Caenorhabditis elegans: one gene and its partner. The protein of the gene in region 1 interacts with the protein of each later gene in a pairwise test. Each region holds a gene or a part of one and is shown in the gene's direction. Other genes may lie near its edges. The genes, in order: C02B8.6 and uev-2.

What was found.
Region 2: the proteins of C02B8.6 (region 1) and uev-2 interact in a two-hybrid assay, tested with the Caenorhabditis elegans proteins (one study listed by BioGRID).

Annotation. Positions count from the first base shown.
Region 1 is NC_003284.9:8,133,169-8,139,600, reverse strand, and holds the start of C02B8.6 (putative RING finger protein C02B8.6), read left to right. Parts: upstream 1-3,274; 5' UTR 3,275-3,281; coding exon 3,282-3,486; intron 3,487-3,720; coding exon 3,721-3,789; intron 3,790-3,834; coding exon 3,835-3,909; intron 3,910-4,652; coding exon 4,653-4,886; intron 4,887-5,229; coding exon 5,230-5,690; 3' UTR 5,691-6,432. Other genes in the region: C02B8.3 (DUF5354 domain-containing protein), read right to left, coding at 1-19; C02B8.7 (uncharacterized protein), read left to right, coding at 1,722-1,880.
Region 2 is NC_003281.10:5,580,430-5,586,793, forward strand, and holds uev-2 (UBC core domain-containing protein), read left to right. Parts: upstream 1-2,695; 5' UTR 2,696-2,711; coding exon 2,712-2,858; intron 2,859-2,965; coding exon 2,966-3,085; intron 3,086-3,126; coding exon 3,127-3,214; intron 3,215-3,306; coding exon 3,307-3,457; intron 3,458-3,597; coding exon 3,598-3,784; 3' UTR 3,785-4,093; downstream 4,094-6,364. Other genes in the region: F56D2.5 (RBR-type E3 ubiquitin transferase), read right to left, coding at 1-150, 517-639; F56D2.8 (DUF4440 domain-containing protein), read right to left, coding at 1,459-1,506, 1,584-1,759, 1,805-1,982; F56D2.3 (DUF148 domain-containing protein), read left to right, coding at 4,633-4,755, 5,210-5,334, 5,480-5,684, 5,732-5,961, 6,176-6,356.

The DNA of each region.
Region 1 (6,432 bases):
CATCTTGGACAGCGTTCATGGCGGTTGAACGGGAACCGAAGGCAGATGCCAAGACGAGAGAAGATATAAGGATTTTTCTCAACATCGAAGAAGCACGAAAGAGTTAAGCTGTAAAAGAATTCAGCTTTTGGCGAATACTGTTCTCAGCGCTGTTTGAATATGAAAGCTGAAAGGGCGGAGCAAGAATTCCATAAGGCGGGGCTTACAGAGTCTTTGGAAAAGAGACGTATAAGATATAAGAGAAACAAAAGTGCAGATTGAGTGACGAGGAGGATTGCAGGGATGAGCATCATATGAAATGAAACATCCCGCCCACTTTCGAAGTGTACATGGCACAAAACCGGTTACAGTGTGTACCTGGCTCTGACGTTGCCACTCCGTGACTGACACGCAACAGAATCTGGAAAAAATTTGAGAAAATTATCACTTGTTATGTCAGTATCCAAAAAAAATGTTACATATCTAATATATAATCAAGCGTTCATGTGTACACAGTCGAAGCCAATTTCTAATGCATTAGTTTTTGGCTGAACAGAAGTCGAGACAGCTTTGGATGAGCTCAGATGTTTTTGGGCTAATACGTCACTATATTAAGTTTAAGAAACTATTTGATACAAAATTTATAGAGTTAGTTTGATAGTTAAAGGAAAGAATCCAATTTCGGGGGAACATTTGAATTGTACTAACATCTAGAAACTCATTATTTTCAAAACGAATTTTCCAAAGTGGTGTAGTATAGGATGAATGATATGTGTTATGTTGGTTAAACGAGAAACATTCTGAATCTTTTTAAAAACTATGATTAATTTTCTCCCAGAAAACAGTGTCCTTTTTTGCAGTACCCATTTTTGCCATTTTAAGTGATACGAGTTGTGTACGAGACCTTACGATGAACTACACAATAAGCATGAAGTGTTGTGGTGCATTATATTGAGACAAACTCAATCTTACATTCATTTCAAAAATTATTGATGCACATATTTTGTTAATTAACGCGTTTCATAAAATATGTACACACTCATATATTTTATCAATTTCGCACAATGTTAATAGTTTCAAACAAACTTCCCATTTGTGATAATTTAGCTTCAATGAAAAAATCTTAATGTGCCCCTTTTTTATCTAACGAAAATCTGAGAAATGTTAACCGAAATTCAAAAAATCAAATCTTCTTTTCATTAGATTTTTTAAACTTTACCTAATTAATCCCTAAAAACCTTTTGCAATTGAAAGACTGAGAATAGAAATAACATGCGTTGATAAGCTTAGTTATTAATGTTTCTGAAGCTTTTCTAAGTAACCTCATAAGTGGCTTTTTTTCGTTTTGAGAGAAAATTAAATACTGCAATTTAGTAGCCTATTTTTACGTGATTTAAAAAATATGAAGAAACGTCAAAGCATATTACTGTTTTATCTGAATTTCTAAATTAATAAGCATGGTGCTCACAAAACAAAATTAATCATTTCGAAAGTCATGAAATAACGAATCTGCATTTGACCAGCGTGTGTTTTGAAAAGCAGGCATAGGAAGCCTTGATAATGTTCCATTCAATAAATTTATTAGGGCTGAACTTGTGCAAGAATCTGCAGATAAATGCCGATTATTGACTCCGACAACCTTTCCAAGGGCTATACAGCGAGTGACCCCTTCTTAGATTTTGAGAAAAATCCTAATATCTTCTCTCGTCTTGGCATCTGCCTTCGGTTCCCGTCCAACCGCCATGAACGCTGTCCAAGATGCCCAAGATCAACTCACCAAGCTCATACGTTGCTGGGAGCCCATTGACTCCGACGACCTTTCCAAGGGCTATACAATGAGTGACCTCGTGTACCAAGTTAGTAGCTACGTGCCATCCCCAGAAAGCTATAGTACCGTGTAAACGAAGTTCAGATAGCCAGCGCCGACAACATCAACATATTTTAAAAGTGTTTCTATGAGACACTCATTTCAAGCCTTCCAGTTCCACAAAGCTAATCATCCATCTCAAGTGAGCATGCATGTTTGTGCAAAAGAGACGGTTGCAATTTACCAAAGACGTTGACGGATTTCCTGGATTTTAATATGACCTCAATTCCATCTGTTGGTTTCTAACACGTGTTTTCGGTTCTCCGATCCCCCTAGTCCGTGTCGTCCAATTCCCTTTCTTTTGATGTACTTCCAGAATGTTCCGAACATCTTCAGTCTCTCAATTTTTCTTTATTGTCGTTCAATTAATACTATGTTTCCTTCAATATTTTTACAATTTTAACAAAATTTGTTTCAATAAGGCTATAAAAAAATCTGAATAAAAATGTGAACCGTTACCGCAGTTTTTATTCTGAAATTTTCAGATTCAAAGAAGCTGCTTGGAGATAGAAGAGTTTCAGTTCAATTTAAAAGGTTAAATAGATTCTTACGGCGCTGAACTCGGTAATTCTACAATATCGTCATTCCAAAGTGCACAAAATCAGATTTGATTAGCTCGAACAGATTCGCTTCATAGAAGCCTACGAAAACTATTGTTTGACTTGGTCGTCAAGCAACGAGAGCATCACGGTGACGTTGCATTGCTTTTTTCTTATTTAAAAACACCAAAATAATCGAAGCATTAGTGCGGAACAAGATATCAAGAAAAGTACAAGTTATTTTCGATACATCAACATTTTGAAATTAGACTTCTGGAAATTTTCAGATTTAATCGTTAGCATAAAACTGCGCAGAAGTCTTCAAAGTTCTTTATAAAATGAGGGTGACGTCACAACTTTCTAGAAAGTGAATTTGTATCGATTCCTGACTATCAAGTGTGAAAAATTTGTCTGACACCCTACCACTCTGTACATACGTTCGATGTCTTTAGACTCCACATTCCTATTTGCTTTCCATCACTCAGCAATGATTCCTGTGTCTCCTCTTCTCTCTCGCTCAACAGAGTGAATATGCATTTGTCTCTTCGGGGTCACTCTTGTTGCATATCGATAGTACGTGCACAATGTATTTGACGACACATTGCAGACATTAGCACATTTGCATGTTTTCAATATCATTTTATCAACAATTTCTAAGCAAATTTTAGAAGAAATGAATTGTGATTTAACACAATATGTTTATCAGTTTAAAAAAAAAAATATTCGTACAGTACACATTGAAAAAATACAATTGCATGCAATTGCTACTGATAAAACTTTGATAATGATTGTCTAAGCCTTTTATTGCGAAACTTTTTTTTTTGCTAAGTGTTACTTTTAAACCCTTTTCTCACTTTTTATAAATGCAGTGAAATATAATCGATTTCAGGTGTATAATGACCGACATTTGCACAATCTGCCATAACACGCCGAACAGGCCAGTGCGGCTTGATTGCAATCACGAGTTTTGCTACATTTGCATCAAAGGCTCTATTCAAAATGATATGCTCAACTGTGCCGTCTGCCGAAGACCATTTGATAGCTCCATAATTCTAAATTTGAGCGCTCAAGTTTGCTTGAAAGGCGATGCACCAAGAGATGGTAAGATTTTGTTTGGATATGATATGAAAAGATTCATCTGTAAAATAATTCAGATAATCAGAAACACTTTCTCATTAAGAAATGGAAAGTACAAGAGTGTAAAATAGGAAAAAAAAACATTCAATTTTTTTCTGAATACTAATTTCCTAGACATCCAGAAGCTAAACCAAAAAACTAACAAAAGTTATATGTACCTTTTATTAGTCTTTCTTCTAGAATAAAACAAGGTTTCAGTTGACGACGACGAAGAAGAGGTTCAGGACGAGGAAATCGACGTGAAGCCTGATGTCAACTTGTTAAGAGGTGCCTTTTTTTAGTCAAGCGCATTACTAAAATAACAATTTCCAGCGGCAATGAACGCAAACCAAAACGGAAACAGAGAACTCGTGGCTGCAGCACCTCATATGAACAACAATGGAAACTGTAATATTTTTTTAAACTTGAAAATTTCCATGGCTAAGTTGTTTTACAAAGAAGTGGTGACACCTGTTTCCTGAAGCCAAATGCAGAAGCTTCTAGCTGATCCCTTAGAATGTTCCAGCTGCTTAGCACTAGGAAGCTTCAAGATACTGATATATTTTCGTACAAAGTTATAGTATTGATTTAAACTACCGTATTTCCTCTATAAGTAAGGCGCCTCTATTAGTTTGGCACTTTTAATAGTTGTGCACCAATTTATTTTTCCACTATAGTTTGCATTACAAAGTTGTTCTACAAATTAGGAAACCTCTTAAAGACTCGGTGTAACAAGTCAAAATTGGAAAGATATGTATACAAGTCGGATAATTTTTGTGTATTAGTCGTGAGATTTGTCCTTTTGGTCCAGTTTCTGCTATTGAAACTGATGACATTGTGCCATAACTTAGTGGAAACCTTGAGTAAGAACTTGAGCGATAACTCTTAGTTTTGCATCTAAATAGGTGTTCGAAAATTAGCTACGCATGCCTTACTAATAGAGGAAATACGGTACCTGGATATTTTGTACTCAGTAGGTCAGCTTTCAACAATTTCCTTGCTAAAATTTTTTTTGCTAAGCTCTTTGAAAACCTCACGCTTTGCAATTAGAGCAAGACAGCATAATATTATGCAGAGTTTTTCATTAAACCAGTTTGTTTTGACAACAGACTGCACAATGATATTACCTCAAGTTTAAAACAATGTTTTAGTTCATAATGCCCAAGGCAACTATCAAGTGCCGACCACTAGTCAAGGAATGGTAAATCAGTTTGGATGGCCACAGTTCCAGGCGCATTCTGATTTTCCTTATACACTTGGGTATTGGGGAAATCAGTTTCCACCATTCTGGAATAATGCTGCAAGAAATTGGGGAGACGTTCAACAAGCCGCCAACCCTGTATTCGCTGGAAATAATCAATTTCTGGGCAATACACAATATAACGGTAAATTTAATTTTGTAAAAAGTTGTTTCATTTAATATTTAGACGATAGTCATATAAATCTAGTAAACATTTTTTATTCACTGTGTTTGAGCTAACCTCGTGCCAGGTAGATTGTTCCGTAAACATTGTAATGTCGACTAATAGAAGCGCAATTTGCAACCTTGAGGGTTTCCGTTTTTCGTTTTTTTTAAGAGACAATTTTACCAAATATCCCTCCGAAATATACCGCGATCGGTTTAGTTAACGGTGCCTCTGTGACACTACATCACTGAGCATTTTTTCTGGCGCCAAAAGAATAATATATATTTAACTTCCAGTTGCTTATATAAATTTAATTTTACAGTTTTCCCTCCAGGGCAAATGGGCTTGCCACTTCCAACAACAAACATAAAAATGGATATCAGAGACGACGAGCAAAATAGTGTAGGTGGACAGCAGGGAATGCAAACTCCCACTGCAGGCAGTGATGTTCCTACTGCAGCCCAATACAACGTTCAGGCGAATTTCAATGTTGCTCGAGTCAAATTCTTTTGGCTTTACAGCAGCAGAGGAGATGGTTGGTGGCGTTTCGATCAACGTTGCGAGAAGGATATCGAAGACGAGTTTCTGGCCAACAAGCCGAATATGGAAATGTACCTGTTCGGAAAGCCGTACATACTTGATTTCGTGGCAATGCGACAGTGGCAAAAGGGCAATCTTGATGCTTGGAGGCAAATAAAGCGCGTGACATCTTCGGAGTTCGACATGCACAATGTCAAAGGAATTGCAGGGTGCCATGTTCCAAATGTTTGGACTGTGGATTAACAGTAACGCCTTTAACTGTTTTGCAACTGTCATTGTTCTTTTTCTTCTGATTGCGTCGCCATTGACAAAACCTATTTCTTTCAATACAATTGTTGGTTTCAGTTTTAGACTTCCCAAAATTTGTCAAAAACCTAAAACTTTACTCCTTATCATTTTGCGTGTAATTTCTGCTTGTCACATTATTACTTTTTATTAAAAAGTGCCTCAATCCCGTGCAATCAAATTTCACAATCTATGTCTCAATCAATATGCAGCCAAGCTTTAACACCTCGGCCATATTAATTGTTTTTTTTTTAACATTTTTCTTTTTCATTACTTCGTCTAATGCTTTGTAAAAATGCTTTGTTTTTTTGCATGATTAACATACCATGACCACAGTGTTACCTACCTTACTTCATTCATATATTTCTGTATTTTCCTCTTGCATTCAAACATTTATTATCCATAATCTGAACTTTTTCTGGTTTTTTACGGATCCCCCATCTTCCTCACAACACGTTTTTAATGCTGGTTTACCAACATCTAGTTCTTGATATCGTATTGTTACTTAGTAATATAATTGCATGTTCTTCCCATCTCTCCCATTTCGCTTTTCAACTTTTTTGTACATTCCAGTAGTATGTTCGTAACTTTATTTGGAATATTTATCTGCTTTACTCAAAAACCATTTAATCACCGCATTTGTTTACATTTCTACTCCATTAACTTTACTTATTTGTAGTATTTGTAGCAAAATTGTTTC
Region 2 (6,364 bases), on another chromosome or scaffold:
TTTTGGTGATGATACGGTGGGATAATCATTTGGAAGATGGAATTTTAGTCGAATTGGAGGAAGAATGTCAAGAGGAAGATGAAATTGATCGCCGGAGTCAGATGTTCCTTCAATTGTGACTGTTGGATCGTATAAGTTGTCAAATCCGACCTGAAATTGCACTTGACTATTCTAAAACTCATTTAAAAAAACCAACTAACCAACTTTCAACCGTAACTTAGTGACTCTTCTAAAAAATACTTTACTCCATATATGGCCATATTAGTTTATCTCGTACAGGAAAATAGTCAACCGTGGCCAAAATTTCGGGCTAATGATTATGGAGGCTATTGAAATTTTCTATACTTTGTTACCTTAAATATTTTTGATAACTTACATAATTACGTAGAAAGTGTAGCTAAAATATAGTAAGGGTAGTTTCAGATAAATAATTTTTTGTTGTTATTTAGTGGACATTAAATTACTTTTTTAAAAGTTAAAATACCCCAGCTTCTCTCAAAAAACCAAAATCTTTACCTCAATAATTCCCTGGATTTCAGCATTCTTATCACTCCAATCACTGGATTTCGCCAGTTTCTTCTCTCTTAGAACACTTTCCAATGCTTCCAATTCATATATTTGCAGGTCACGATCAGTCATTTTTTATCGATTTTTAGACAAGAGACGCAGAGATTCAATAGACGGAGTTTAGGTAATTTAGAAATGAATGTTCAGGAATTTATAGAAAATATTTTACATTATTAGTCAAAAATGTTCAAACAATATATGAGGAAAGTTTGCGGAACAAAAATCAAAATTAATTACTAAAATATTGCGAAATATTGCAAAATTGTAATGAGTAAAATTGCGCAATGTGATAGATAACCTGTTGTGGAAACGATGAGAAATACAATTTGAAACTTTAAATTTAGAGTATTATCAGTGAGAAATTGTTCAACTTAAATTGTGTTTTTCTCTACGTGATGTGTACTTTAATTGCGTTTCAATTGTTTGTATTTAAACAATCGAAGAGTTCAAATTTGCAGCAATGCTTGAAATTGCCCCCAAAAGTTCAATTTTTCAATTTGCCAAACCTTTCACTAAAATTTTTGAAAAATGTATCTATCCATGTACCTTATTCTTCAGGAATTGATAAAATCTATCGATTCATAAAAAACTAAAGCTATTCCAACAGAATAGAAAAACACAATGTTCAAAAATGAAAGAATATTAAAATCATGTGAAAAGGGAAAACTTCCAGAAAGTCGACTCTTCTCGTTTACTGCGTTTTGTGAATATCTGAAAACTTTGTACGGATTTGTTACCATTTCTTCAATAGGCCGTGTATCATTCTGTCAATTTTTGGTGGATAGGTAAAATGTAACAGCCAATTTGATTTCTGAAAAGTTTTCGAAACATTTTTAAATATATTTAAAACATTTATTTAGGTCATACAAGTCCCGATATTCGAATATGAAACTACATCCAATCACTGAAGTGCACCATTGTCCAGCCTTTCCATTTGTTCTGCAAATTAAAATTTATCTACAAATCTATTCTGGTGATTGCGGCTGGATAAAATTTTAGTCCAACTCCCTGATTACCTCGTATTTTATCTTGAAAATAGTCGTTTTTTTGGACAAAAGGGGCGTGTTGGGGTAATATCTGACATTAATCTGAATGACTCCATACTCGTAGCGAACTCGTTCAATTATTCCGGTCGGATAAGATTCAAAAGATTTGATGATTCCCTGTGCCGCTTCAATCATGCCACTGACAGCTGAAAATAACTAAATTTCAAAATTGTTTCTGATATCGTACTTACGAAGCATATCATCCGGAGCAAAAAGATCCACTACTGCAACTGGGTCCCCTGATTTGATAGCTGCCTGGAACTTTTCGAAGAACTCCTTCGGTACGTTGGCATATTCTTCGGGGACTGGATCCAATGAAAAGACAATAGAAGCACTTGAAAGAGCTAGAAGAAAAATTGGAAGACGCATATTTTGGTTTGGCTACATGGCGAACTGAGCATTTTTATAGTTCGAAATGCTAATTCAATTAGAATGTGAAAATTGTCAATCAATGCGGAGGTTGATGTTTGGTGTCGTATTGATGATCATGATCATTTTGGGCATTTTGAAGACACCACATGGGTTCTGCCGCGTACGGTATCCGGTCTCGTCATGATAAATTTTAGCTGAATGAAAAAGCGTGTGCAGTGTGTGGCAGAGGAGTTGCGTCATTCCACGTTTAAAAGTGTGCCCAACATCAGATATACCTTTAATCCTCCAACCCGTCGGAATCAAGTAGCTCACACACACACACACACATACATAATCTGAGAGCACGTGTAGTTTTTGTTACATGCTCAATTCTAAAACAGAGGGCGCGAGAGAGAAAGAGGCCATCTCTAGGACAACGTACTAATGATAGAGAGACGGCATCCGCTTCTGTGTGATTATGTAGCTCTTTTTCTCTCGTACCTGCCTCTTCTTCAACTTGTGATATTATCCCACGTATTCATACTCTCTTCTTCACTTTTTGTTTGAAGCTTCTGGTTGCCTTAGGCCTCGTGGGATAATATGCAACGTTTTGTGCGCTTTAAGAATATATTCACTGTAGCTTTTTCAAATAAGATCCAGCTTAGGTTCAGTTAACGCGGCTCCGGAAGCTTCGTCACGAATTGGATTACTTTGACTTTCCAGATTAGAGCTTAAGCTTTCAGAAACATGCGAAGACGTAGCAACAGACAATATGTTGATCTCTCATATTTTCGCGAAACTGCCGATGCGCTATTATTCGACGTTGAAACCAATTCACGCGAATTCACCAATGAAATCAACACTGTGAAGGAGGAGAAAGCCAAGTGGGATGAGGTAAGCTTTCACACAAAGTTTAACTCGCCTGCCTACCTGGGACCTAGGCCTGATTTATGCCTACTTCAAAAGTGGGCGTGGCATGTGTCGAAATAACTTTTTTTCAGAGAACACCGCAAGGGTATACGGCAAAGCCAATTAGTTTTGAGGGCGCAGACATATGGTGTTCTTGGATATGTACAGTACCTGGACCGAGAGGAAGCCCCTGGGAGGGAGGGGAATATGAGGTTTAATTACTTTTTAGTTCGCAAAAGTATATTATCTCCAGGTTTCCGTGAACTTTCACAAATGGCCTATAATTCCGCCAATTTGTGAATTCAAAACGCCGCTTCATCATCCGAACGTGGACCTCAGAGGTTGGTTAGAACTGTTTCGAAAAAATATGTTTGAGTGTGAAATACAGAAAACGGTAGCAAAAAGAAACGCATTATTACAAAAATCTTTACAGGATCAATTTATCTTAAAATGCTGGAACAAGAGCACTGGTCTTCTGAAACTTCACTCAAGAAACTTCTGAGGGAAATCAGCAATCTACTTGCAACGCCCGATCTTACTCAAGCTGCAAATATTGAAGCCTGGATGGAATATGAGAATCAGCGGTTAGATATATTTTAACGGCGCACAGCTGCAAATGTGAACAAACTCGGCCACCTATTCTTCTAGGCCACTTCGATTTGGAGCTAAGCGTCGTTGAACAGAGAAAAGAGAACACTTAACTTTTAAAATTATCTTGTTCCAGTGAAAATTACGAGGCTAAAGCTCGAGCTTATGCTTGGACAGTTAACCCGAACGCCGTGGGATACATGGAAGTATCCGAGAATTCCGGAATTCAGAGGGAGACAGCAAAGGCTAAGTTGGCAGTGCAAAATGGTGCCATGGAATCGGACGAGGATGATGACGATCTACCAATTGACATCGAAAACTAATATTACACAAATTTTTATATTTTTGGTATTGGCCAACGTTTTCTGTTGAAGACCTTTTCCACTTTCTCAAAACTTTCTTGCCGACACTCTATGGAATTTTTCAGATTTTTCTCCAAAAAGGTGCCAATTTTCTATACACATTTATTTAAATCCCAATGCCCCTTTTTTGCAGCAAACTTACCTGACCTATGTGATAATTTTTCCCATTTTCCCTACTTTCCCGATCACACCAATTTTTCATTCTCTTTCCAAAACCATGTCTTTTTACGAAAAAAGTGATTATTGTACCAAATAAAGCTATTCCAAACTCGTTGAGTCGGGGTGTCCTCCCATTATCTCTTAATGAAATGGCAGAACAAGAATAAATCTACGTAGTCAACATTTGTAGGCAGGGAGGTATGCTTGACTAAGCTCCAGTCTACTAAGGATTTAAAAAACTCGGCCACCGATTTCTTGTTCTCGGCCACGTTGCAATGAACCGCAATGCCCTTCAAAAAGAGGTGATACTCGTGATTGCACGTCATTACCTCATCCCCAATGTCTATATTTACTTCTCCCGCACACCTTGTCAGATATCTGCACTGTTCATGGTGTGCTCATCGCCTCGCGGAGAGAGCTCTAACCCAAAAGTTTTAAACGTAAAAAGCCGGAAACGGTATAGGTTTATCGGTTCACCGAGAGCGCGCCTAGATCGTGTGGTACCGCCCCTCCTCGCCTCCCGTCAAAGGTCTCTATTTACTCCCAAACAGTGTGCTCTCGGAGCCTCCCGATCCCCCTCGCTGACCATTGTCCACTCCACTCGACCGTGCACAGTTGACTCCTTTTTTTGTACTAGTCGGTTGTTGGAAATGAAACGTATTCTTTTGATTTCTCTATTTTCGGCGGTTGTCAACGGCTTTTACTACAAGAGAACTTTATACGGAGATGCTAATGAGGGAGCTGCCATGCCAGACTATGTTAATGCTTATTATGTGAGTTTTCTTGGCTTGTAGGATTTTTAAGTGGCAGTTTCGGCAGAGATTTCACATCTAAAATATAGTTTTTGAGTTGTTTTGCAACAAGTCAGCCAAAAAATCGGTGGCCGAGTTTTTTGCTTTCCGCGGCCACGTAGCGAAAATCCCAAGGTTAATTATTACAAGGTCACAACCATTTCGGTATGTTGTGTAGATTTTTCTAATTGAAACTAGATCAGAACACAAACGCCTGCTTGCTTGCCTTCATTCACCTACGCTTGTATCAAGATTGTGCACATTGAAAGTAGGCGTGTAGACAGGCACGTAGGTACCAAGGACTGAAGATTTCATGAAAACAACACCAAACACCAGAGTCCAGCAAGAAAAAAAACCAAAAAATAATAGGCAAGCTTTCATGAAAACGAGTCTGCCTACCAAGCCTTATTGAAAATTCTGAACATTCATTTTCCAGGGTTTTCCAACAATCCCAACACAAGAGCCACGTCGGCGACCATCTTTCAACATGAATCCACCACAAGGATATTTTCATCGGGAGCATCCATTTGACTTTGGGCCATTTGGTTATATGAGAGCAAGGTAAGTTCCGGAATAGGTGGCCAAGTTTTATCTCCTCGCGGCCACTTAGTAAAAAACTGACCGTAGCGCCAGATTACAACGATAATCTATTCAAAACTCACTTTAGACGGTACCTTAGCAACAAATAATCTTGATTTTCCTTCAGAATTGGAGAAGCCAACTTCGGTGAGCCCATGGAGAAAACTGACCGCGAGCGAGCTATGGAACGGGCCAAACCGGGATTTTGGCGTCAAAACCAACGCGAAACCATGGATCGGATCAAGAAAATTATTGGAGAGCAGAGAATGAATATGGAGCAGAAGCAAATGCATATTCGAAGAGTTCTAGCAAATGAGAGTGATGAGATAAGGGTAAGAAGATAAATAATTTTTTCTCAACAAACACAAACATTTTTCAGTCCAAATTCGCTGATATTCACAAAAGACTGATCATGAAAAACAACAAGATGACCGTCTCCTCTCCAGTTCCAGAGCTTAGCAAACAGGCGAAGAAGCTTGAGAAAGAGGCCAAGAAAATTATGGAAAACAAGAAAATGAGTGTAGAGAAGAAGCAGGAGAAACTTGACAAACTTATGCTTAAGGCTCCAGAGAACGTTAAGAATGAGCTCAATGCTATGAACGATTCGGGGTGAGCATTGAGTTTTTCATGGTAGGCAAGACGCGCATGTAGGCAGGCGCAGGTTGCATGGGAGGCAGGAAGCAGGCGTTACATGGTATTCCTAAAAAGATTCCAATCCGTGTAACACTCTCGGAGAATTCAATCATATCAAAATTGATTGATGCTTAGTCGATTTTTGTGTTTCTCCTCTATTGCTCTCTTCGAAAAATCTCAAATCTTTCAGATCAACACCTGCCCCAATTCAAGCTCCATTCCCAGCTCCAGGACAAACCGAGGCTCTTAATCGGGCAAACCCATCAATGGCTTCTCAAGTTGAAGTAATGACTCGTAATGCACCAACTCAAGCAGTGGTTGAAGCTCGTCAAATCCGAGTTTCCGAAGATGGAAAAACTGTGGAAATTTAAATAATCTG